4 linked regions of the Drosophila melanogaster genome follow. The protein of the gene in region 2 interacts with the protein of the main gene of each other region in a pairwise test. Each region holds a gene or a part of one and is shown on either strand. Other genes may lie near its edges.

Region 1 (7,894 bases), on a different chromosome or scaffold from region 2:
CAGTACTTAGGTCACTAGAAGAGATTTGAACAGATTTATGTGGCCGGCGGCTTGCCGTGCACGCGAAACCGGTAGAGGCATGTATAGGTGGGATGGCCATGGTTCGTCTCGATCCGCAGTTCGACGATCTCGTACGGCCGTTTGATGTCCAGGTTTTGAACGGCAAAGTACTGGAGGGAAGCACCATTGTCCTCAAACTGGTAATCGCCGAACAATACGGGTTCCTGGTCCTTCTCCTGCTCCAAGCCCTGAGTTGATGGATAAGTCGTATTAGAAATGCACCACTTCCTTTCACCCTTAGTCAAACTTACCCAGACAGTGAAGTTGCGAGGAGCTGATTCTATTCTTCCTGTGGGGGATAGACTCTTCGGTATGTGCTCTAGGGTGAATCCAGTGACGTACACCAACGAGTTGAGCTTTAGCACTGTGGGAAGAAAACTATAAGGACTGTTTTAGCAATTACTATTTACCCGCGACTTGCCTAGAAATCCGGGAAACCCTTGGAATGCCCAGCATTCCCCTGGCTGCACATTGGGTGAAATGGCGACCCGCGGCGTGTTGGTGGGATACCAGAGTGGAATTCCAAACACCGATATCTGGGCTGACTTTGTCTGGTAGCTCTCAGTGCAACGCGTGGAAAGGATTTGGCCGCCCGCCGACTCCAGGGCGAAGTCCACCAGGCCCGTCTTGTCGGCATCGTAAATAGCTAGCACCGTCTTGACTATCTGGCGCACCTCCTCTTCGCGGATATGGCCCTTCAACGCTTTGGTGCTCTCGTTATGCTTGGCCTCCACAACCAGAAGAATCTCCCGTTTGAGTCGTTGGCTAATGTCGCTCATCAGCAGGATGCTCGAACGCTCAATCTCGTCGCGAATGTTGTTATTGGTGCGCTTGTTCAGCTCTAGCAGCTGCTGCTCCAGGTAGTCCTTGGCCACAAACATGCTGCGTACCCAGGTCTGCAGATCGAAGTCATCCAATTGGCCAGCGGAACCGCCAGCGGTGGATTGCTTAAAGCCCAGAATTTCGACAAGGGATAGCTTGATCTGCTTGTTGAGAAGAGCAAACTGCGAGTCGTTAAGCGCAGACAGTTTGTTTTCTATTTCAGCCAGCAACCCGTGGAAGCGCCTATCCTGGGAAAGTTCGTGCTGCTGTATGCGTTCCAGCAAATCCTCTTGGCCGAGCTTCAGATTGCTGATTGATTGGTGCAGATCGGCGTTCTCCGCTTGCTTGTCAGAGAGAGCCAACTTAATGAAGGCGATTTCCCTGTTCAGACGCTCAATTTGGACTTCTGCATCTGAGGAACCGGAACTCTCCTTTGGCTCGAGCTCTCCCACCCGAAGACTTATTCGAGCATCTACAAAGTCTGCCAATGCTGGCGCAGCAAGAATACGCTCCAGCAGGGATGCAAAGTCTATCCTGTCCAATTGAATGGTGTAGTGCGATTCGTGGAGGTGAACCTCTGCTTTAATTAGCTTGGTTATCTCCTCTAAGTTAGCTTGTGATAGTTTCGCTCCATCTTGCCAACCGCCTGAGCTTTGCAGCTCCAGTTTCAGTTTTATGGCCAGATCAGACAAATCCTTTTCGCTTAGCTCCGTTTTGTACATAATCTGCTTGAGGTTTTCCTTCATCAGCTTAACAAAGAGTTCAATCTGTTGCGGTGCGAGCTCCTTGGAATGCTGCTGCATTTTCAGCTCGACCAACTGCTGCACGTAGCTGTTTACATGGTTTAAGATATTTTCGTATTCCTCGGCAGTCAAGGCTTTCTGGATGTTCTGTTCAATGCTGGCCATGTTTACCTTAATGGCCTCGGCTTCCCGCTGGGGACTCCTGACGGTGGGCACTTCCATCCAACTTTTCAAGGTGGCTCCAGCATTTGAAAATCGACTACGTAGGGAGCCGAAAATAGATAGTGGCAGCGGCAACAGTGCTTCCGCACGCTGAACGTAAGCACTACGTTGATCCTCCTGCAAGAGCAACCATCCTGGGGAAGGAGAAAATTAAACATAGCACTATTAGTTGGCAATCCTTCTACATTTACAGTCCCTACCAACTTCAATTATCAACCGGACTGAGGTAACAGGGAACTCGTTTTTGGGGTTATTCCAACACAAATGCAGAAGGATAGAGTTCGATTCTGGCCAACTAATATTGCTTTGTTTACATCTTACTTACCATTTAGCGAACTTCCAACAAATGGCAAATAAAACAAACAACTCTTCTTTGTACTTGATGTTTCATATGAAATTGTTTGCGATTTATTTTTGTATAGACTATTACAAAGCAAACAGTGCACAAATTACAATTAAACGTTGTTTAACAACAAGTAAGATTTAGTTAGGGCACTAACCCAGACGGATAACGGCCCTAATTGTTGGACAAGAATGAAGTTAACGATTACGAAAGTTTTACAATTTGAACAGCGGCGAGCTCTATCCTTCTCCCATCAGCCTGTGATGTTGCATTTTGTTGGGAATTGTGTCGGTTAGTATGGTGGGGTATGAGAGGTGGGTTTGCCTATGAAGTGGGTAAATGACGGGACGAAAAACTATAAAGTAAGTGCGCAAAACTGCGGGTCAAGCAGACGGACAAAAAACGGATCAAATGCTTTATTTTGTACTCATATTGTTCATAAAGAAAGTTTCTCATATTTGTCTAAGTGCAAGGGGCGTTGCACCCAACCAGATCACTAAATCTGGTAGCTGTAGCCTGCCCATTGCAGATGTTCCCTACACACGCTCATAATAGACTTTATCATCGCCCTGAAATAACTGACGACCCTTGTTGACCACGTTCTGACCGATGGTTCTCAAGTACAAAACGTAGTCGTCGGCCCAATCGCGAACGCGGACCGCATGCTCGGCGGCCTGAGAGCGTAGCGATTCGAACTGCTCCTGGTTCAGGTAGTCTTTCACATCGATTTTGGGCAACTCAGGTAGGGTGAATGTGTATTCGGACAGGGATTTGGGTGGGAAAGTTTCATTGGGGTGTATGTAATAGAACAGACCTGCAAAGGCAAAGCAAATTAGGCGTTTAACCTTGGCAGACGGTGAATGGAAAATAAAATATGTCATCACATGGCCACTTAAATCTGATCCGCGGGATTTTACTAACAAATTATCGATGGCGTCACGCGACTGCCAACGACCAGACGAGTTTATAAATACAACGACTGGAGGTGATCTATATGCATGTAGTATGAATTCTCGAACCGGTACAAGGTCACGGCACACGCTCTAACATATTTTACTTTACATCAAAAATCGGACGGTGCTTTAAATCCTACTCACCCGACAGCAGCAGCAAGGGCAACAAAATCAGCAGAAATATGAGGAAGCGCTTTTTCGACTTGTTTTCCGCATCCGAGGATCGCAGCAACCACGTGTCCAAACTCAGCACCGATCCGATGAAAACATACAGGTAGCGCAGCAAACTTGCAAGTCCTCCTCCGATGGTCTGTACTATTTTCCACCAAAGTCCAACTTGTTGACTCTGCTGGCGCTTAGCGTGGTAGTTTTGATAGGCAGTCGTCTCCGTGGCCGAGAGATTGGTCACCCGACTCCACACGGTGGTAATGCTGCTAACAACCAGTTGGATGAGGCGGATAAGCCACCAGCTCTGCTTTTGCTGCCCAAATGTGGCGTCCAGTTCATCTGCGGAGTCATAGTTAACCTGCTGGGTATACTTGGACTGGTAGCGGCGGCGGATGAACTCCTCTTGCGCAGGGTTCTGCTGGACCATGTAGTTGACTCGATCGTTATGGTTCTCTAGGCTCTTTCTGGACATATTGGGCATGGCCACAATTCCTGGCGCCAACTGGCGTCGGTGAGGGGACAGTTCTGAGTAGGTATAGTCCGTCTTGGGAGTTTTGCTGCAAAATAGCATCATTAGTATACTGTTTAAAATGTGTAGAAATGATTCACTCACTTCCAGTATTCACCAGCATCCCTGTACTCGATGTAGGCCAGATAATCGCTGACATTTCCCGAGCTGAGGTTACCGTTCGATTGGTTTAGCTTTTCCTGGGCGGAATTCAGCGTGTTTTGTGTGGTCTCCAGCTGGCTTCTGTTCCGCGGTGTCGATGTGGCGCCGCCGGATCGCTTGGTGAGAATCGACGTGACTGTGGCCGTGATCGAGTTCTGTTTGCGTTTGGCATCCGGAGTCATGTCGTCGCTCGAATAGTCCGAGGTCAGCTGGGCGAACGCTTTTGCCCGGGTTTTCTTACTGATACTCGACTCCACTATATGCTCCTCTATTATCGTTCTGCAGAGAAGAGGTAAGATTTGGGAAAAATATTTCAGTAAGTCCGTGATAACGTGCTCGGAATCGTTTGAAACGACGAGTACAACGTATCAAAACAAAAACACAAAAATATGCTTATAACCGCCGCTGGCCTTCAGCGCAAACGACTGTTAGCCCACCCCAGCATGCTCGATTTAGAGGCTAAAACGTGAAAACGATTTCTGACGGCCGACGTTGGACTCCGAATGTCGTCATCGAGTCTTGAAGACTGATCATCAGACCGACCAGGCGCTCTCGAAATAGGCGCCAAAAACTAACGAAGCTCGACCAGATGCTGCACCCTGTATGCGGCTTTGCCTTCGTTTTCTACCCGCTTCGAAATTCAAATTCGCGGCGAGCGTGAATAACAAAAAGGTGACGTCATGGCGGCAGCACACGGCATACAAACATACAGTCGCTATGGATGTGTCTTACTACAGTCCAACTTGCTTACTGAAACCAATGGTCAGTATAGAAAAAGGTGACTCAGGACCAAATAGGAAATAATTATAGAGTTTAAACTGAATTCTCCTAATTCTCAAAATGAAATTGACTCGAACTCCGTAAACATATTGTATGCTTACAATTTTACTACTTATAAGGGCTAAAAATAATGTTATGGGTTCGCGATAAAGGGCTTCGTCCGTAGGCCTATTTCGGGAGTATCCCAGATACTTACTGCACATTGGGGGCCGCCGATTTCCTTTTGAGGTGGTGCACATGCCCCTCCTCTCCGGCGTGCTCACAGTTCTCATGGTCGCAGCTCGATCTCAGGAAGGGGGTCTTGGAACGCGACCGCCGACGCGTTTCTATCTGGTATGTATTTTCGCTCATGATTAGATTCCCTCCAGTGCTCGGGCCCTGCGAAGACACAAATAATTAACATGGGCAACGATTTATTTGGAGTAAACATTAAAACCAGTCTGTGTGTGTGTGCGTGTGCGTGTGTGTGCGTGCTAGGCGTGGGTTGTTTACAATTGGGCAGCTGGAAAACATTCGGTCTCTTCACTTCAATGCTCGAGTGCTTTCCGAAGCGAGCTTTCCCCGCCACATTAATGCCGCATTATGCAATGCAATGCGTGTGGAAATGAGCGCAGTGCCCGGTTTTTAATTAGAATGCATTGGGGAGGTAGGTAAGTAGGCAGGCCGCAAAGACCGCGTCTAAAAATAGGGCGGAGCATTTCGGATCGCGAATTGCTGCCAGTGACCGTGGGGATCCATTGGTGTTGGGCCACATAGCCGAAAACGACGCCCGCCCGGCCTTTCGCGCACAGATATCGGACTCCAGGGAGCGGGGTAGGGATGTAGACGCTACAGGGTGCTCCGGCGGACCACGCCATCCACAAACAACGCGCGATAATCAATACAATGGCTTACTGCCCAAAATGAGTTCGCAGCACAGGCGCAAATATTCGTTGATTCCGTGATTCGGTGAAATGGAAACCCAAACAAGTTTTCCACAGCTGCGTCATAGCGTACATATATGTACATATGTATGTACGTGAATGTAAAAATGAGGCACGCACGCACACAAACAAAAACTCCGCACAGTGCTTTCGGCAGTTTGCCCGCAAATATGTGACATACTTAGTAATATTTCTTGTACTGCCGTACTAATGAATTCCTCCGTTGAATAGCTGGATATGAATTTTGTTTGCAAGCGCCGCGACCGTTTTAAAAATAGCCTCCACCGTCACGACGGCAAAATCACGTCTATTCCGAGCGGCGAAAAAATTCGAATGAACGGGGAAGACACATCGATTATTCTAGCAATCATCGATGTTTCGCCGCCTATCGATTGTTCACATGGATTATTAAAGGGAACGTTGAGAAACGGAATTTGTTTTCATTAACCAAGAGAAATAATGGGTCAAGAATAAAAAATTTAATTTTTACACTTTTATCTTTTGTTCAACAAAGAAAAATAATTTGAATGAGGTGTGCAAATATGCAAACATACATTATTTTTCTATTAACGCCGAAACATTCGACTTCTGGCTTGATAACTAAGAAGAAGACTGAAATTTAAATATAAATTTGTTAACAAATATTATCGTTTTACAAGGATGTGATAGATTTGCGTCATGACAAGCAATTGAGCTTTCTAAGTATACTTTCAGACTTCTGATATCTTTAACTTCGACTTTCTATATGATTGTTATTTAAACATATTTAAAATTAAATAAAATATCGATAGCATTGCGGACAATTAGCGATCCCTCAAACCACTCGGTATTCGGTAAAGGGTATTTGACAACCCTAAGCAATAATACCACAACAAATCAAGAATTTATTGTTGTGATTTGTCTAGCAAAGCCATAAAATATGATAGAAATAACGTGTAACGATCGTCTTGGCAAGAAGGTAAGCAGCTAAGTACCCAAGGCAACTGCAAGCATCGTTAACCAACGATTAACCCACAGGTGCGCGTCAAGTGCAACCCGGACGACACGATTGGGGACCTCAAGAAACTAATCGCGGCACAAACGGGCACAAAGCACGAGAAGATTGTCCTGAAGAAGTGGTACACAATCTTCAAGGACCCGATTCGCCTATCTGACTGTAAGCCCTTGTTTAGTGTCCTTGTAACGCCTTGCTTTACCCGCATTTCTTTTTCGCTTTCTTAGATGAAATTCACGATGGCATGAATCTGGAACTTTACTACCAATAAAACTGCAAGGGAATACCGTTCCTGTGTCTAGTTTGTCCAATTTTTATAGCTTCTTTAATAAATAAAAAGATTTTGAATAATATATATTATTCGTTTTGGTTATGTTCTGATTCTTAAGGTCAATTTGTAATAGTGAAGATATATATTTTTGAGTAAGCTGTATTAAGCCCTTGGTTATCGGACTTCCCTTGACAATAACAAAATACATAGTTAGATTGATGAATTACAATTACAATTAATATTGTAATTTGCGTTTAATGCGCCCCTACGACTACGCCCCTGTAAAATTGGTATTATTTACAGCGTATGTTGCGGCGTTGCCAGATCGCATCAAAGGCTTCCAGAGAAAGAACAACAAATATTGAAAACAGCGCATTCAAGATTCCGTCGAAAATGTCAATGATTCCATTCTTTCCCACGCTCAAAGTCTCCGTGGCCAATCGCTACTGGTTGGACATGGCTCCTGCCTCCGTAAACGAAGAATCGCAGACGCGGCGTTATGAGGATGAAAGGAGCAACTGGGTGAGTTCTCTCCAGACACCGCTTTCTGTATAAATTGTTATAAACTTAAACCGTACAGCGAGAGTCCCTTAAGACGGCCGGCACAGATCTGCAGCCGCTGGGCAAAATGCTCACCATACCCGGAATTGAGACCGACGACGAGGATGGTGAGTACGGCAGGACACTGCATTCGGATTACCATTATCGTTTTTACGTCCAATTGCCCTTGTGCAGCCAACGACGACAGCGAGGACACGGACAGTCACGATGAGGAGGATGACGAGACCAACGACCGCGTCATCCCGGTAACCCAGGACTTTTACTCCGCCGACGACATTCAGATGAACGACGAGACCTCACCCACAGCCCCCTAAATGAATGGGAGTGCCCTGATTGCCCATCACAATGTCGCCCGGCTGGTGGATACACAATTATTTATTTTCG
Region 2 (7,848 bases):
CTTCTTATTTTCTGAAGACAAAATCGTGGTTTGCTTTAGTTTCCCTGCATCTGTCATCTCCTTTTCTGAAGACGAAAATAATGTAGATTTTCCACTAAGTTTTAGTGTTAGTTTTGGTATTTGATTTGGAGATATTCCACTTGTGGCGGCACCTAACGATGGATTTATTGTCATGGAACTTGATTTCAATACAGGTTCATCGTTGTTAGCTAAAGGCACCTTGTCAAATTCTTCTGTGTCATCTGGTATATGGACTAAAATCTAAAATAAGAATTGATTAAACTATAAATTTAACTTTAAAAGATTTTGCTGAGATATGTGTATAGACTAAAATAAAATTTGTAAGAACTAAAAATATAACTTTAAAAGATTTGGCTGCTTTACATGTTTATGTAGGATTAAGATGTTTTTGTACCTATACCAAGCTGTAGGCTTCGATGTTATAATTAGTCACAACAGTCTATATAAGTATTAATACAAATTTGGAACATAATGTATAATGTATAATGCATAATGCATAATTTAATGTTATTATACGGAATATGTTCACAGAATTCATGATTTTAAAAATGTTTCCCACATAACTTGCTGTTTTCAAATGAGTTTGTGTACGTACTTATCGCAAAGGTTGCTTATCAGCTCCGGCGTATCTACATATCTGATCCAAATACCACAACACGAACACCTATTTTTTTATAAATAAAGAATTGACACAAACCTGCTTATCTTTATCCTTTTTCTTTTCTTTTTTTTGCCTTTTATCATTGGCCTTTATTTTCCGGTCGGATTTGAAAGATGGTAAGCCAATCTGATCCGCTTTCTTTGATTTGTCCTTTTTCTCTTTCTTTTTTTTATTTTTCCCTTCTTTAACCTTTTTTAGCTTTTTGTGATGTTTCCGCATTTTCGGTTCCAACGACGTTAATCCAGTTGGTGTTATTGTAATATCTTCGTAGTTAGAAAAGGTAGAAAAAATATTGTGCTCTTCTGAAATTTTGATTTGATTCGGTATGGTTCCACCTAAGCTACTGAATGGTACTATTTTGGAGGAATATTCCGAATCACTCACTCTCGACAGAGGAATAAGATCTGCTCCCCCAGCTAAACTGAATTTGTCACCTCCCATAAAATTAGGCAAGTTAAATTGTGGAAATGATGAATGTGAAGCTGGCGTGTGGGGTACGCTTTTTACATCGGGAAAACTCTGTTTAACAAGTTTTTTAAATTTTTTAAGTGGTTCGTTAGAGCTTAGAGACACAATATTCCTTAGATCCATTTTGGATTTTTCTTCACCATTAGATGCAGCTGACGTAAACGAGGAGGGATTTAGTTCTGCGAAGCTGGTTTTAACATAAGTTGGTGATGATATTGGGGTTTTTCTTTGAACCATCTGCCTGTTGTGCATTGATTCATCTGAATCATCTGAAACCTCTATTGGATCATCAGGATTTCCAGAAGCCTCCAAAAGCGGTTTCGTGTTTATTTTGCTTGTAGCCTGTGCAGATGGGTTTTCCAATATTGTGCTGGCACAAGATACGCTTTTACCTACAGATATAAGTAATAAGTTATTTTTAAATTACAAATATATTTACCGTTAAACTTACACTCGGCGAATTTCATTGAGTCAGGTACTAATGGAGCAACATTGCAGTAGTTTCGATCCATTTGCAAGTCAGTTTGCGTGGAAGATCGGCTCAGAAATTGATCAGAATCAGTAACTAAAAATTATTTTTTCTAATCATTATAAATATTTAAATATTTTGGTCGACAAATAATTCACATATTGTAGGTAGGTACGTATTGTCAATATAAAAAAAAAATTTGAGCTCCTCCAAATATCTAGTTTATGACAAACGCAAATATTTCATACTAACCCATCTAGAAGCTTCCCAATACCACTTCTTGAGTGTGTACCTATACCTATTTTCTACATTCAACGGTTCAATGATTAGTTTCAGATTAGTATTTTTGCTGTAATGAATTAAGATATTGCCGAGACTTTTATGTAAGCAATATATTCTTCGAGCTGTGATACTCGAACTGGTATGGTAAAGTAAAGTTTGGGTCAACAAACTTCAGCTGGGTTTATGTCTCTAGAATCTTTATGCTTAATCTCAACCTACTAGCTTTTTATAGTTCATGAGATCTCGACGTTCATACGGACGGACAGGACAGGATCAGATCCACTCGGCTATTGATCCTGGTCACGAAAATATATACTACGTATATATACTACGAGCAATGCGTATAAAAATAACTCATTTGACGTACCAGGAGAATCCTTAATTGGTGGACATCGAACAGTATCCGCAACTGATTCTTCTGGTCCAGGATAATCTATGAACGGCGAAATAGGTATTCTGTTACCGTGATTCCCGAAGCCAACTAAACCAGTGACTGCAGGAAAAAGCCCAGGTCCAGTAGGAATAAGACCAGGTCGTGGTGGAAATTGCAATAAAGGAAGCAACGGAACCATTCCTGTTTGAATTCCAGGGTAAATTGATGCATTTGACAAAGCATTGGATATAGTCACAAATTTATCTGAACATTGTACATCATTATTTTGTTTTGTGGGTCGAATAGAATTATGTAGTGTTGATGCCTTTTCAGGAGAACAGCTCTTGTCTAATTGCATTACATTTTCTGGTAATGATTTGTACTTTTTTCTGTCCTTTTTTTCTTTTGCATACAGGTTTGACAAAAAATTATTCGAGGGCTGTTCGGTATTACACAAGTTGAGAGGTTCTGTTGGCGGGGAGACGTTTAAAGAACTTTGGGTTATTATCATTGGAGATGATGATAGAGGCAGTGTAATAGCTTGGCTTGACTTTTTCCGTTCGACCTTATTAATTAAAGGTTGCGATACAACATTTGTTTGTTTTATTACATTTTTTCCTCCAGGTTTGCGACCTCGCTTTTTTGGCTTTGGCGAATCAATAATTGACATTTCAACGCCTGCTTTAGTTAAAGGTATAGTTCCATCGAATATATTGCAAGGGTTGATTTTCATACTCGGAACGTTTTTGTTTTCAGAATTTAGACCAAGTGAAGGTGTAGGAGTTATAGTAGTCCCCGATGGAAGACTAATTAATGCTGAAGGGGTCATTGTGCTTCCAAATACAGATACCCCGGTTCCAGGAGGTACTAAAGTCGCCCCAATATCTGGACGTGGAGTACGTGGCTTAGAAATTTTCTTAAAAATGTCCAATTTACTTCGTTCTGGTTCTGATCCACTTTTTTTTTCTGCCAATAGCACTTGCGTTTGTTGAATTACAGATGGCTGCACTGGATAAATTGAATTTCGAAAATTATTTTCAATCTGGCTTGTTACTGTTGGCGGCTGACTAGGGATATCAGCTTGTAAAGCATTTTCATTTGAGTTAGCTTTTATGGCAAGGCCGCTCGTAGTTTGAGAATTCTGCAAAAAGTGTTTTTCGTCGATGTCCAGTTGAAGATCATTTTGCTTAAGTTTGGACTGCTTCTTAAATATTTTTTCTAAATGTTTTTTATTTGGATCGAAGGATCCGCGGTTAAATTTTTTTTTTAACTTTTTCATGTTTTGTATTTGATTAATTGAGCTGTCTCTTTGGTTCTTTGAGGTTTGTTTATACATTTTTAAAGCTTTTCTCTGTGACTTTTCCTGAGCTTTTTCAAACGGATTAGTTAGAAGTTCGCTTTGACCGGGTTCGCATATTAAATCATGTTTCTGTTTTCTATTCTTCTTAGGTGTTGTAACAGTTAGCATCGTATGGTTGTTAGACGCATATATTATTGAAGACTCTGAATGTCCACTTGTCAATAATGCAGCATTTTGTTTGAAGATTTTAGTTTCTGAGGGAATGATTTTTCGTGGATTTACTGTTTTGTCTCTGTCAGAAAGCGCCAGTTGTGGAGATTTTTGTAACGAATTTACAATTATCGTCGGTGAAAAGGGTGCATCCAAACCTAAAAATTTTTCTATAAACACCGATACATGAAAATTTATTAAGCTGTGGTATAAGGATAGGTCGTACCAACTATATCCGGTATGATATCTTCGGGGAGCTTGCCTTCAATAGCTGGACTTATGAATCCCCCTGTTGTCATTACCACGCTGCTCATTTCGCGGACTGAGCTCCCAACGTCCAATTCAAAGGCATTCGACCGGAAATTTATCACAGTATTAGGAGAGATAGAATCAATGTGCTTGGCGCCTAACTTATCAGCTGCGTTTGTTGAACTATACTCTGCTTTTGAACAAAACTCTTGCTTTTCCGAAAATTCCTTTTGAACATCGGCTGGAATTTCACGAAGTTCGGGGTCCTGCATTGGTGGCAAGTATTCAAATATGTAGACAGGTCGCGTTAGAGTTTCAGCGCTTCCAGGCTTAAGGAAGTTCATGTTTACAGATTTTCCAATGGGAAACTGTGGTACATCCCGGATGAATCCAACAGGCTCGACATTACCTATGTAGTCCAATAGTTCTTGAACATTGATGCTGAGATTTTTTATACTTAAGCGTGCATCCTTAAGGTTCGGCTCTATCCGATTTGCTAAATTAGTAATATATATACTTGTCAATTAATATTTTTATAAATTTTATCCAAATAAACAAAGCATTTTTGATTTTTTGTTTGGTTTTAATAAGATTTTTTTGAACTCATATAAATAACGTTATTAAGTAACATACCAAGCAAAATTAAAAAGAAAATATAAGAGAACGCTTTAGTCGAGTTCCTCAACTATTTATTTTTATTTCTGTTCCGGTGGTTACAAGGAAGATATATCTTAATCTAAGATATATCTTAATCTAAAATATATCTTAATCTAAGATATATCTTAATCTAAGATATATATAAATCAAAGATTTATTGTTTTTTTTTTTTTGGTGTTTACAAGACAATTAATGAAATAATAATTTGCAAAAAATACAATCTACATGCCTATTGAGGTTTCATAATCCCCAATCGAGACCCCGGCAGTCCCACAATTCATCGCTCCTTAAAAACATCCCAAGATCATCGGTTTCGCCCACAGTACCAACTGCTTTGGCTGCACAGCCACAAGCAGGGAATCAGCAATAAATTATGGATCTTTTATTTCCAGCCGAATGCTAAGCTGACGCTCTAAGTCGCCGAGCACATAAGTTTCGTAAGAAACTTTAAATTTTTAATGCGCATCGGAACTAGAGAAATTATATACTGATGTAGGTGAAAGGGACTGGGCGAGGAAAAGGGAAATAACAATAAAAGAAAGAAATAAATTAAAAGATTACTTTTCTAAGAGGCACGCTTCCTTTTTCGCGGATAACTGGGACTAGATTTATGCGAGTAGCAGGCGCGAGCTTAATCAGGAAATTCCAATGGCAATGGATTCATTTTACACGCAACAACACGTACTACTCGCAGAAGCGATGTACATTTTTCGTAATACATTTCTGTACACATTATACTAATATATTTTACTTTAAGGTTAAACGGACAGGTTGACCGGTATTCTAACGCAACTGAAAGCAAAATGCCCTAACTCCAAACAAAATTGTTTTAATGATAAATAATGATTTATTAATGATAGTCTGATGGAACTGCAGGGATGATAAGTTATACATTTATGTACATGTACATATATGTCACATACTTTTTATTGAATCTCTTATTCTACAAGTAACGACTATAACTACTCAGGCTTTGTTGTATTTCATGATCGGTTCCGTTGATTTGAGGGTCTATACCACTTACCGTGTTCCATATGTCTATGCATGTCTCGAGCGAACTCCTGTACAAACTTCTGCAATATGTCTTGCAACAACTCCAAGGGTGCACTTAGAGTGCAGCTGTAACCAATAGTTTGCGTTATCTGCGCAACGACAACAAGGGCCAAATCTGAAGCGTATCTGTCTGCCATCATGTTCTTTCATGAGGTACACCTTCTTTAGAAAACCTTGGAAATGCTGTGAATAGGTTTAACCGTCCCACGAACTTCCTCTTGTTATTAAAATTAATTGACTTGGTGTCTACACCTTTATTAGACGAACTACAATCTGTGGATGTTTAGTTAACGATAACTTATCGATTTTGCCTTTGATGGGAAATATATCGATATTTGGGGTATGCCAAAAGTGGTAATCATGGGGTTCAATCAAATTCAATTGATTGACCAACATAAACAAACTGCAATTTTTTATGTGGTTTGAAAGTGGTTATAAGGGCAGATAAAAGGTTTGCTTTCGGTATGTTCGCTGTTAGTGTTCGAATAAGACACAAATTTTGAAAATAAGACGAAAAAGTTTTCTAATCCTTCTATTCTTTAAAATAGATATTGAACGATGGAAATATAATTAGAGCTTGTTTAATAATAGAGCGCTTGAATGCAGAGTGAAACGAGAGTCTTGTGTTGTTACCCGTAAAAATGTTTTAGTTTTACTACTACTATTACTATTATTACTACGATTACTTACTACAAATTTTAACAGCATCTAATGTTATGTTTATTGTGGAAAGAAAGTAATGCCCAGAACAGCTATGAAATTACCGAATAAATAATAATATAATTATAAATATAAATAATATATATAAATATAAATTTAATAAAATAACATTAAGCCTAAAATCGCTTCAAAAATATCATGTGAACTATATCCCAAACATGTGTATATATGCAGGTAATTTAGTGGAAAGAGGGTATAATGTATAATGACACAAAACTACTGATAGAATACTAGTTATATTTTCGATCAGTTTAGAAGAAACTTATATCTTAAGACATTTATTGGGTTAGGTATTGTTTCCCATATATGTTCTAGTCGAGTATTCACACAAAGAAGCGTGCGACAGATCTTCGGCACTTAATATTTTGTATTTGTAATAATGTAAAATATAAAAATTAACAAATAAAACAACTATATGAACATTTGCATGTGTTGGGTATATGTGTAAGTCTAATAAAAAGTTTTATTCTACTTAAAGCTCAAATCCTTTAAACTTTTCAGCTAGTTATTGAAATACTCAGTATAAATGAGTAAGAAGATCTCCATCAACATTGATCTGACCAACGTTTTACTCCTTTTTTAATCTAATAAGAACTAAAAAATGCAACCATTGAACTCGAGCATTGATAAAGCAAAACATTTTTTCATAGAGAGCGGGATCTTAGGACCCGTTAACTTTAAATATTCTCATGACATGATTCGGAAGACGTCTACCATTCACATTGACGAAACTCTTAAGAATCAGGTAAGGGTGGATAATCTGATTCCCAACGAATACACGTTTACACCTATGTTAACCATAATAGGTGTATAGGTATCGTATTTCCTTACATATACTGAAGATTTCATATGCAGTCGGTCAGTTATCGAGTAACTGGTTAGTCCGTCTGACTATCAATCTGAACGCTGTGATCTCGGGAACAATGAAAACTAGAATATTGATATTAAGCATTAAGACTCAGTCACAGAGTCTGTAAGAGTTTGTTTCATGCCGTTGCGACGCTTGCTCCAACGACGACGCACCCTCAATATTCATACGGTCACAAAAAATCAATCAACCACTAGCAAAAACACGAATACACTTCAGTGCGCAGATTTCTCATTTTGCGCATAATGTACGAGCTCAAAGAAGCTGGAGTCGAAAAAATGGAATTTTTGAAATTTAAAAGCTGGAATCGTTTGCTCATTTGTTGTCTTTATTTGCCCACGTTTGGCCACTCTTTTCAATTTTGAAAAAGTGAATACTTTAGAAAATATGAGACGTTCTAGTTAACCTCGGTATTATTATTTTGACCATCTCTTAAAACTAAATATTATAAAAAAAAACTTTTGCCCAATCAGTATTCTTAGTTTTTATCGTTTGTCCATCCTTTAAAATTAGTTTT
Region 3 (4,281 bases), on a different chromosome or scaffold from region 2:
AGGTCCGTGATATTCTCGATTCGATGCACAAGGACTGCAAGATTCCACTGGCCAAGCTTATGGTAGACGGGGGCATGACTGTGAATAATCTGTTCCTGCAGCTTCAATCCGACCTAGTAGGAATTCAAGTACTCCGGGCGAAGATCGCAGAGACAACAGCGCTGGTTAGTACTTTAACTTGTGATGTAAATGCAGCTTCAATAATGCTTCAAAAATGCTTTAGGGAGCTGCAATGGCAGCCTACAAAGCCGTTGAAAACCGATACCAAATGGAGGCTCCACTCTCTAAATCTGGCCCCCGAGAAGCCATAAAGCCATCGATCAGTGCCACCGATCGCAACCTGCGCTACCAAAAGTGGAAAATGGCTATCGATCGTTCACTGAACTGGGAGACTTCGACGCTTCCACAGGGCGAACGGGAGGCCTTTGACGGAGCGTGATCACAGCTAATGTCTGGTAACGTTCATGTTCTTCTATTCGTAAATCAATTGCTTGGTTTTTCGTATTCGAAATTTCCATTTATTACATATACATATAAAAATGTTAATTAAAAACGTAAAGTGTTTTTCTGTGCGCTGTGATGCTCTGGCAGTGTGTTCCGACTACCAGCCGGTCAGTTGATCTACATATTTTCATCAACTATTCCGACGGCAACAGCGATCGCTGCCTGGTCCAACTCGTTGAGCATTACAACGCCCCCGGCCGCCTCGTCGACGGCTACCACGACTGCTGGACCAGCCACGCCTATAGCTGCGGGTGCGACGGCCATACCGGCAGCGAGCTCAGCGTTATTGGGATGCGGATTAGCCACTGCTATAGGGGGAATCGGATTTCCACCTGAAAACGAATTTGGGCTTTAAGGGAGCTGTTACTCTCCGTTTCGAGCCTTACGCACTTGCGTCCAATTCCAGTGGCGGATCTGCATTTGCTTCCGCTAGATTCGTTACAGACTTGGATTTTACACATTGGAAATCAACATGGCGACTCTTTGCTTCCTCCTTCTCCCAGGACATGTGGATGAAAGGTCGCTGCACATAGCTGTAGATGACTTCAGCCCGTCCACCGGGACGCCTTCGGATCTTCTCTTTGTGGGTGGGGTATCCCTCTATGCCACAGCGTATCTTCTTCAGACCGCGATCCTTCATCACCTGTTTGGCCACATCGCGGTTCTCGATGTACTTGAAGAATCGGTGCATGGCAGTGCTGTGCACGGCTGCGTTAGAAATGTTAGTGTTGCTTCCACTTCCGTGATACTAATGCAAACACATTTTTTAAATACACTCACTCTGACAATACTCCTCGCCCATCTGAGGCGGAAACTCTTCATCCCACTCGACCATATCGTCTTCAAGGAGCACCACAACGTGACACTCTCGATCCCCGCGCTGCGCCGAGGCCACCATGAGGGGCAGAATTAGGTCCTCAAGAAAGAGTTCAAATTGTTGTCGCGCTCCTTCGTTGCTAAGCTCGTGGAGAAGGCCTCCTTTATGTCAAACATAACAGAGGGCATGTTACAAGGAAAGAGACGGAAAACAAGCAGAGGTGGCCACAACTAAGGTTCGCCCTGGCAGGAATAGTTCGCGTTATACTCACTTAGGTTCTGGCAGCGCACCGTGGTTGCGTCGAAGGGAATGAGCAGATAATCACAGGCTTCTTTTAGTTCCGGTACCGAAACAGTGGGCGGGCAGCGGATAACACCGCTTTTGTAGTACTCCAGAATGGCTCTGAACACTAAGTGCGAAATGCCGTCGGCAACGTCGTACTCGCCGCGCTCGTTGGTATGAGCGAACTGGAAGCCGGAGCCGAACATCGTGCCAAGCATTGTGGTGGGATGTGCTGTAAGCAGTGATTGCTCCACCGTGAAGCGCACACCGTCCACCAGCATGGTGATCCTTTCGGGAGGGAGCGGCAGGCGGCCCATTCCGGAACCAGTTGCCTGGCAGCTGGGAGATGCTCCGCAAGGGGATTTTATGTCGTGCTTGGGCACAGCACCTCCGCCTGACATATTGTGCTGCGGACGGTTCAGCCGGCTGCGCTCCTTCAGGATGCGCCTCCTCCGCTCCTCGGCTGTTTCGAGAACTTCCTCGCTGCTGTCGCTACTGTACGTGTCCTGCTTCTGGGCAAGGGGCGCCTTGCTACTGATATTGCTACTACTACTGTTCAGACTTGGAGTGTTTGACATGTTTGTTGCGTTTGATGAGCCACTCTTCAAATATTCCAGTACAACACCGTTCCACCGACTTTTCGAGAGAGACAAAGACAATCTGGCAGAGGGCGGTCAAATTAGCGAGGCTCCGTTGAAAAAAAGCCTGCTTATCGCTGCATCAGAGGTCCGATTAAATAGTATTCACGTTACCTTTGTGCGACGCGACTTTTTCCTTTTTACATATAGTTATAAATATACATATTTTTTCTTGTTGGTGCTGGAGATGGGCTCCTGGGTGCGCTCAGTCGATAGTTTTCCTCTGTAATCACAATAACATATTTTTAACCGATATTTATCTTCAATCGCGATGTTTGTTTTCAGCTTATCGGGTTTTTTTTAACGAATAAAAAATTCCTCTCTAAAAAAATAAAAAGATTGTAATTTCATCATTTCGACATTGTTTGTTACATAATTATTAACTTCTATTAAGTTAAGAAAATCTATAATATTTAGAGGTAATAATAAGAAAATTCTTAATTAACATATCTTAACTTAATGGAAATAACTTTTTTTTTCAAATACAAATTAATATGAAAATTCTGTGGAAATTAATTAAATGTTGTTAAAACAAAATACAGCGTTGGGCCGAATGCAACTCTGTATATACCCAAGCTGTGTATCGATACCGACCACCGACTAAATGCACTCGATAGTTTAAATTTGCAACCGTTCATCATGGCGATCTGAGAAAAATAATTTTTGCTCAAAAATAAAATAAATAATCAAAAGAATTGTAATTCCTGCGAACGCAAATGCGATTTTGGGAAACGTGAGTTTGATACGGACGCTTCACGAAATGCGAAGACTGTGAGCGGTCTTCGGTCAGTAACAAGTGCTTGGCGTGTGTGTCTGCGGCGGCAAAAAACCCAAATGTAAAATATATAACAAAATCCCAACTCCCCCAAGAATGGGCAGTGCGAAAGTGGCGCCCTGAGTGGGCGTGTCGCGTGCGGAAGCGCTAGCGACGAGCAGAGTGGCTGTCTAGGTTTGCGGATAGCAATAACAAATAAGTTGTTATAATAAAAGTGTAAAAAAAAGTGCAAAAACTTTGATTGCTTCTGAGTAGTGAAGTGTCGGAGGGGTATGCTGGGTGCCGTGTATAAGCTGGCGGATGCAACACGAACGCCACCTGCTTGCCTCCTGCTTGCACTCACGCGCATAGTAAGCGCGCCCTTAAACGAGCGTGCTATGTGCGAGCGGGAGGGCGCCTGTGGGTTTTGCACCAGTCACCTATTGGCAGCTTGAACGTTTTTCTATATTTTTTGTGTATTTTCGGAAAGCATAGAAAATGTGGACACTTACTGGGAACGCTCCTAATATAAGCGAATAACCCACAAACATATGCCTTCTCTCCCACCAGACTAGCGAATGCTCGTCGAGAATCCAAACCAGTGAGCCAAACGCCAAAGAAAAACTTGCAAAAGTCTGTGGATAAACAACGAACAATAACAAAAGGCAGCAAGCGGAAGGTGGCAGTGGAAGTGGACTAACTCGCCCGTGGAGAAGTGCGGAGCACACAGGACTGCAAAGTGGCGTCGCTACTGGATATTAGGGCTGGGGCAGCAGCGGCGTCCATGTCCACGGGGCACAAAGGGTGGACCACCAAGAATCACGACCGCACCACATCCAGGAGAGCGCAGCAGCAGCAGCCGGTGTGGTGTCGCCAACTGTGGCCTTAAGCATGTAGTAAGTAAATTTGGTTAGTAAATAAATCGCGTGAAATACGTATTGAAGCTGCTTTTGCCTTCTTACTTCTAGGTCTTGCAGCAAAGAACCCGTTCTCTAACAAGCACAAGACACAAGGGACAAGGTACCAATCGAAGCAAAAACACACAAATATCCAATCAACACCAATGAAAAATGTCACAAAGAGGTAAGCGCGGTAATCAGCAGCATCACCAGTCGCACCATCCGCCGCCGCAACAGCATCAGCGCAAGGATGTTGAGCCGCAGCCGCCGCCCACCAAGCGGCGCAAAGGTAGGCCACCTAATGGAGCCACTACGGCAGCAGTAGCTGAAGTGACTGGATCGGGTCCAGCTACAGGATCGGAGCGTGTGCCAGTTCTGCCTTTGTGC
Region 4 (3,152 bases), on a different chromosome or scaffold from region 2:
AATACTCGAAATTATTATTATATTATTAAATTATTCATGAGTGTGGGCTCTGGTTGCCATCTGCCCGAGGGCACTTAAAATATGAAATATGACAGAAACATGCGAGATAGGAATCAGAGTCTCGTTGTCGTCCTCGCAAAGGAAAGCAGGGCAAGGAAAAGTAAGGCACATGACAGGATCCCTCTGGCCTCCAGTCATAATGCTCAGCGGACGGATGGCGGGAAGAGGGAGCTCTTGAGTGGCCAGGAAGTGGATGGGAGGGAAACAGCTGGTTCCTGCCCCTTGCTGCATATTGTATTTGCACGATAATCGCCTTTAAGGTTTCATGTTAAAGCTGTCACTGCTCTTGGTTAGAAGTCTGTCAATGACATTTCCGTTTACATCCCTTCTCTTTCAATTTAGCAGTGCGAAAAGGGCAAACTTTAGTGGATCACAAGTGTTCAGTTCGTTAAGCTGTTAATATGTTTCCACATACTGAAACCTCTTCTCGTTCCGAATGGCGGTTCTAGTAATATTTAAAAGTCTGTGGGCGCTTATTTTCGTTGTTATACTTTGTATTTCTAGATGCATAAAACTAACTCTTAAATAAGTATAATCAATAATATAGATATCAAACTACTTGTTGCGCAGCAATGCCGCTGGCAAATACTTTGTGAGAGGAGTTACTGCCTGAACCTGATTTTGGGCCTCATTCTGCTCCTGGACGCTTATGGCCGCTGGTGCTGAGCTAAAGTCCAAAACGGGGGCGACACCCTCGTCCGAGCTGCGGGAGCTGCCGCCCAAGGAGTCGAACTGCTGCTGAATGAGCTGCTGGGCACGCACCGCATCCTCCGGGGTGCGGTACTTGACGAAGTGCACCTCCGGCTTGGGGCTTTGGGCCTGATTCTCATTGGCCAGGCGCTGCGCCAACTGACTCACATCCGCCTGCTTGCTGAGCACATAGATGGCCGTCCGCTGCTCGCTGGCCTGTTTGGCCAACTGGAGGGCTGCGTTGGTGAGACCTTGGTGTTCCGGCGACTTGATGAACAGCACGCGGAGATTGCGTTTCAGCATGCTGGCGATGTGCTCGGTAGCCTCCTGATCCGCAAACTCCTCCTCCGGTGCAGCGTAGGTGTAGAACTCCTTGCTGAACTCATCCGCAGCAGCTGGAATCTGTTGTTGCGTGTTCTGCTGCACAAGCTCCTGTTGCGCTTGTTGCTGCTGCTGCTGCTGCGTAGATGTGGAGCTGAATCCTGTGGCCTCCGCATCGATGAGTCCCGCAAAACGACGGTCGCCAGCAGCAGCTTGGTAATTGTAGCCCAATTTTGCTGCCGAAACGGAAGCAATGAGTAAGAGTAACTGGAATTTAGAAAATTATTTTGTTTAGAAAGTAGTTACATGATACATGGATATACACTCTTAATTGATATACGGATTTGAAAACTTTGTTAATTAAGTTCACTTTAGTTTGTGTTTCACTTATGTTCTTGTCTTTGATTTTAATTTCTCACCAGAAATCCTCGCATCTTGAGCCGATATATATTTGATGTCTAGTGCAAAGGATCTGTTTACCACTCTTTTAGTTTGCTAACTGACGTTTGTTGTTTGCATTCCGATGATATTTATACAAGCCCGCGAAATGGGAAATTGGAAATATGACAAATGATGGGCCTGCAATGTGCCAGCGTTTTTTGATTTGACTTGGCTATCGGGATCGGGATCGCATCGGTTTCCGTTTCATCTTCGGTTGCTGCAACCATCGAACTTCGCACATTGGCAACAGTTAATCAGAGATAAATGAGCTTTTAAGCGTTGACACAAAACCCCGGCTCAAGTTACGGGTTACGGGAATTGGGGATACCGCTCGGAACCAGTTTGTTTTTTTTTATCTTTTCACCAAACCATGCAACCTTTGGGCGTTGCTTGTCTTACATAAATCTGCGGAACTACTCGTGTTTGGGCGGACGAACATCAAAGCCGCATACTTCCACAAAAACTATGCAAAATATGCATAATTAATTAATTAGCCGAGCGATTGCGATTTGCATCTTTTGCGGCAGGTTATGAACCCGGTTCAAAGCTCGCTTTCAACCACATCGTAGAGTCGAGTCCATCAATATCGTCAGTCATCGCTTGAGTATCGACGGCAATTGTGGTTTTTGCTGCACGTCAAGGAGTGTTTCAGTGGACTTAACCAATATTGGAATATCCCCCTAGCCGGCCAAGAAATATCCGTCCGTAATCTTCACACATTGCTGCTGTTTATCCGAGCATTGGGTTTCCTGGTTTCTAGCCAACAACAAATGCCTTCAATTAGGCATAAATGAAACAGCAAGACACAGACGCAGACATTGCATAAACAATATTTAACAATAAATAGACACATGCACACACTCAGATTCAAATGCGAAACGGCTCACTTCCTTCGACGTAGCACATTTTGGGCCAGTTAATTGTTCTGATTGTTTCACATAAATCTCCAGAGTGTTTATCTGTGGGTGGTTGGGTGTTTGGTTTTCTGTGTGTGCAGATGCTGATGCGATGTGCTCTAATTGATAAGGTGGTCTCAAGAACGAACGAGCTACCAATTGAATTCACCATAAACCAGTTAAGATGCACACGGCAACAAATTTGATGAGTATTAACAAAGTTTGCATGTCAAAATGTGCCCAGTGGTTTCAGTTATTTTAATAACATGGTAGTATATAATCAATAGTAAAGTGGTTTAACATCGTTTTAAATTTGGTATATATTATAATATGGATTTTCCTCTCAGTGCACGGCATTGTGCGGCTGAGATTTATAGGCCTAAATCACCAGAACATTTCATCAGGCAGCCAGGCCGTGGAGCAATGGCCAGGAGCAACAGGCTTCTCGCCCAGGCCCCAACAATATCCATTTATGCGCATAATGAGGAGTCATACATCAGGGATGACCACAGCTGCCGACGGCTGCTCATCATCCTCAGTCTCATCCAAACGTGGGCAACTTCGCTTCGCCTCCAAATGGCCAGTGGCCGGTATTTACATTTATAAATATGCATAATTTGTTAAAGGTCAAATGAAATCCTGAAAACGGCCTCGAGGGGGACTCGAGCAAAACGCTATTCTAATTTAATCATTTTGCCCATTGGCACCGACGAATTCATTTAATTTGTTGCCAAGCAGGAGGCG

Evidence for each region.
Region 1: the proteins of Taf3 (region 2) and koi interact in a two-hybrid assay, tested with the Drosophila melanogaster proteins (one large-scale study listed by BioGRID).
Region 3: the proteins of Taf3 (region 2) and mri interact in a two-hybrid assay, tested with the Drosophila melanogaster proteins (one large-scale study listed by BioGRID).
Region 4: the proteins of Taf3 (region 2) and TwdlQ interact in a two-hybrid assay, tested with the Drosophila melanogaster proteins (one large-scale study listed by BioGRID).

Annotation. Positions count from the first base shown.
Region 1 is NT_033778.4:6,809,147-6,817,040, reverse strand, and holds the start of koi (klaroid), read right to left. Parts: upstream 6,023-7,894; 5' UTR 5,866-6,022; intron 5,254-5,865; exon of another isoform or gene 5,140-5,253; 5' UTR 5,113-5,139; coding exon 4,958-5,112; intron 4,510-4,957; exon of another isoform or gene 4,347-4,509; intron 4,261-4,346; coding exon 3,925-4,260; intron 3,869-3,924; coding exon 3,288-3,868; intron 3,005-3,287; coding exon of another isoform or gene 2,727-3,004; exon of another isoform or gene 2,229-2,726; intron 1,982-2,228; coding exon 482-1,981; intron 425-481; coding exon 312-424; intron 249-311; coding exon 36-248; 3' UTR 1-35. Other genes in the region: ubl (ubiquitin like), read left to right, coding at 6,604-6,642, 6,702-6,840, 6,906-6,949; CG15237 (uncharacterized protein), read left to right, coding at 7,343-7,471, 7,530-7,617, 7,685-7,824. UniProt on the Drosophila melanogaster protein: Component of the LINC (LInker of Nucleoskeleton and Cytoskeleton) complex involved in the connection between the nuclear lamina and the cytoskeleton. Is required to nuclear migration in eye and to anchor klar in the nuclear membrane.
Region 2 is NC_004353.4:460,787-468,634, forward strand, and holds the start of Taf3 (TBP-associated factor 3), read right to left. Parts: upstream 6,043-7,848; 5' UTR 5,884-6,042; coding exon 5,715-5,883; intron 4,530-5,714; coding exon 4,011-4,529; intron 3,955-4,010; coding exon 2,269-3,954; intron 1,716-2,268; coding exon 1,602-1,715; intron 1,543-1,601; coding exon 719-1,542; intron 628-718; exon of another isoform or gene 262-627; coding exon 1-261. Other genes in the region: CG33941 (uncharacterized protein), read left to right, coding at 7,065-7,208.
Region 3 is NT_037436.4:198,372-202,652, reverse strand, and holds mri (mrityu), read right to left. Parts: upstream 2,480-4,281; 5' UTR 2,182-2,479; coding exon 1,593-2,181; intron 1,483-1,592; coding exon 1,285-1,482; intron 1,213-1,284; coding exon 895-1,212; intron 837-894; coding exon 622-836; 3' UTR 501-621; downstream 1-500. Other genes in the region: Gk1 (glycerol kinase 1), read left to right, coding at 1-164, 224-439; rno (rhinoceros), read left to right, coding at 4,066-4,281.
Region 4 is NT_033777.3:26,692,019-26,695,170, forward strand, and holds TwdlQ (TweedleQ), read right to left. Parts: upstream 1,573-3,152; 5' UTR 1,506-1,572; coding exon 1,491-1,505; intron 1,339-1,490; coding exon 616-1,338; 3' UTR 528-615; downstream 1-527.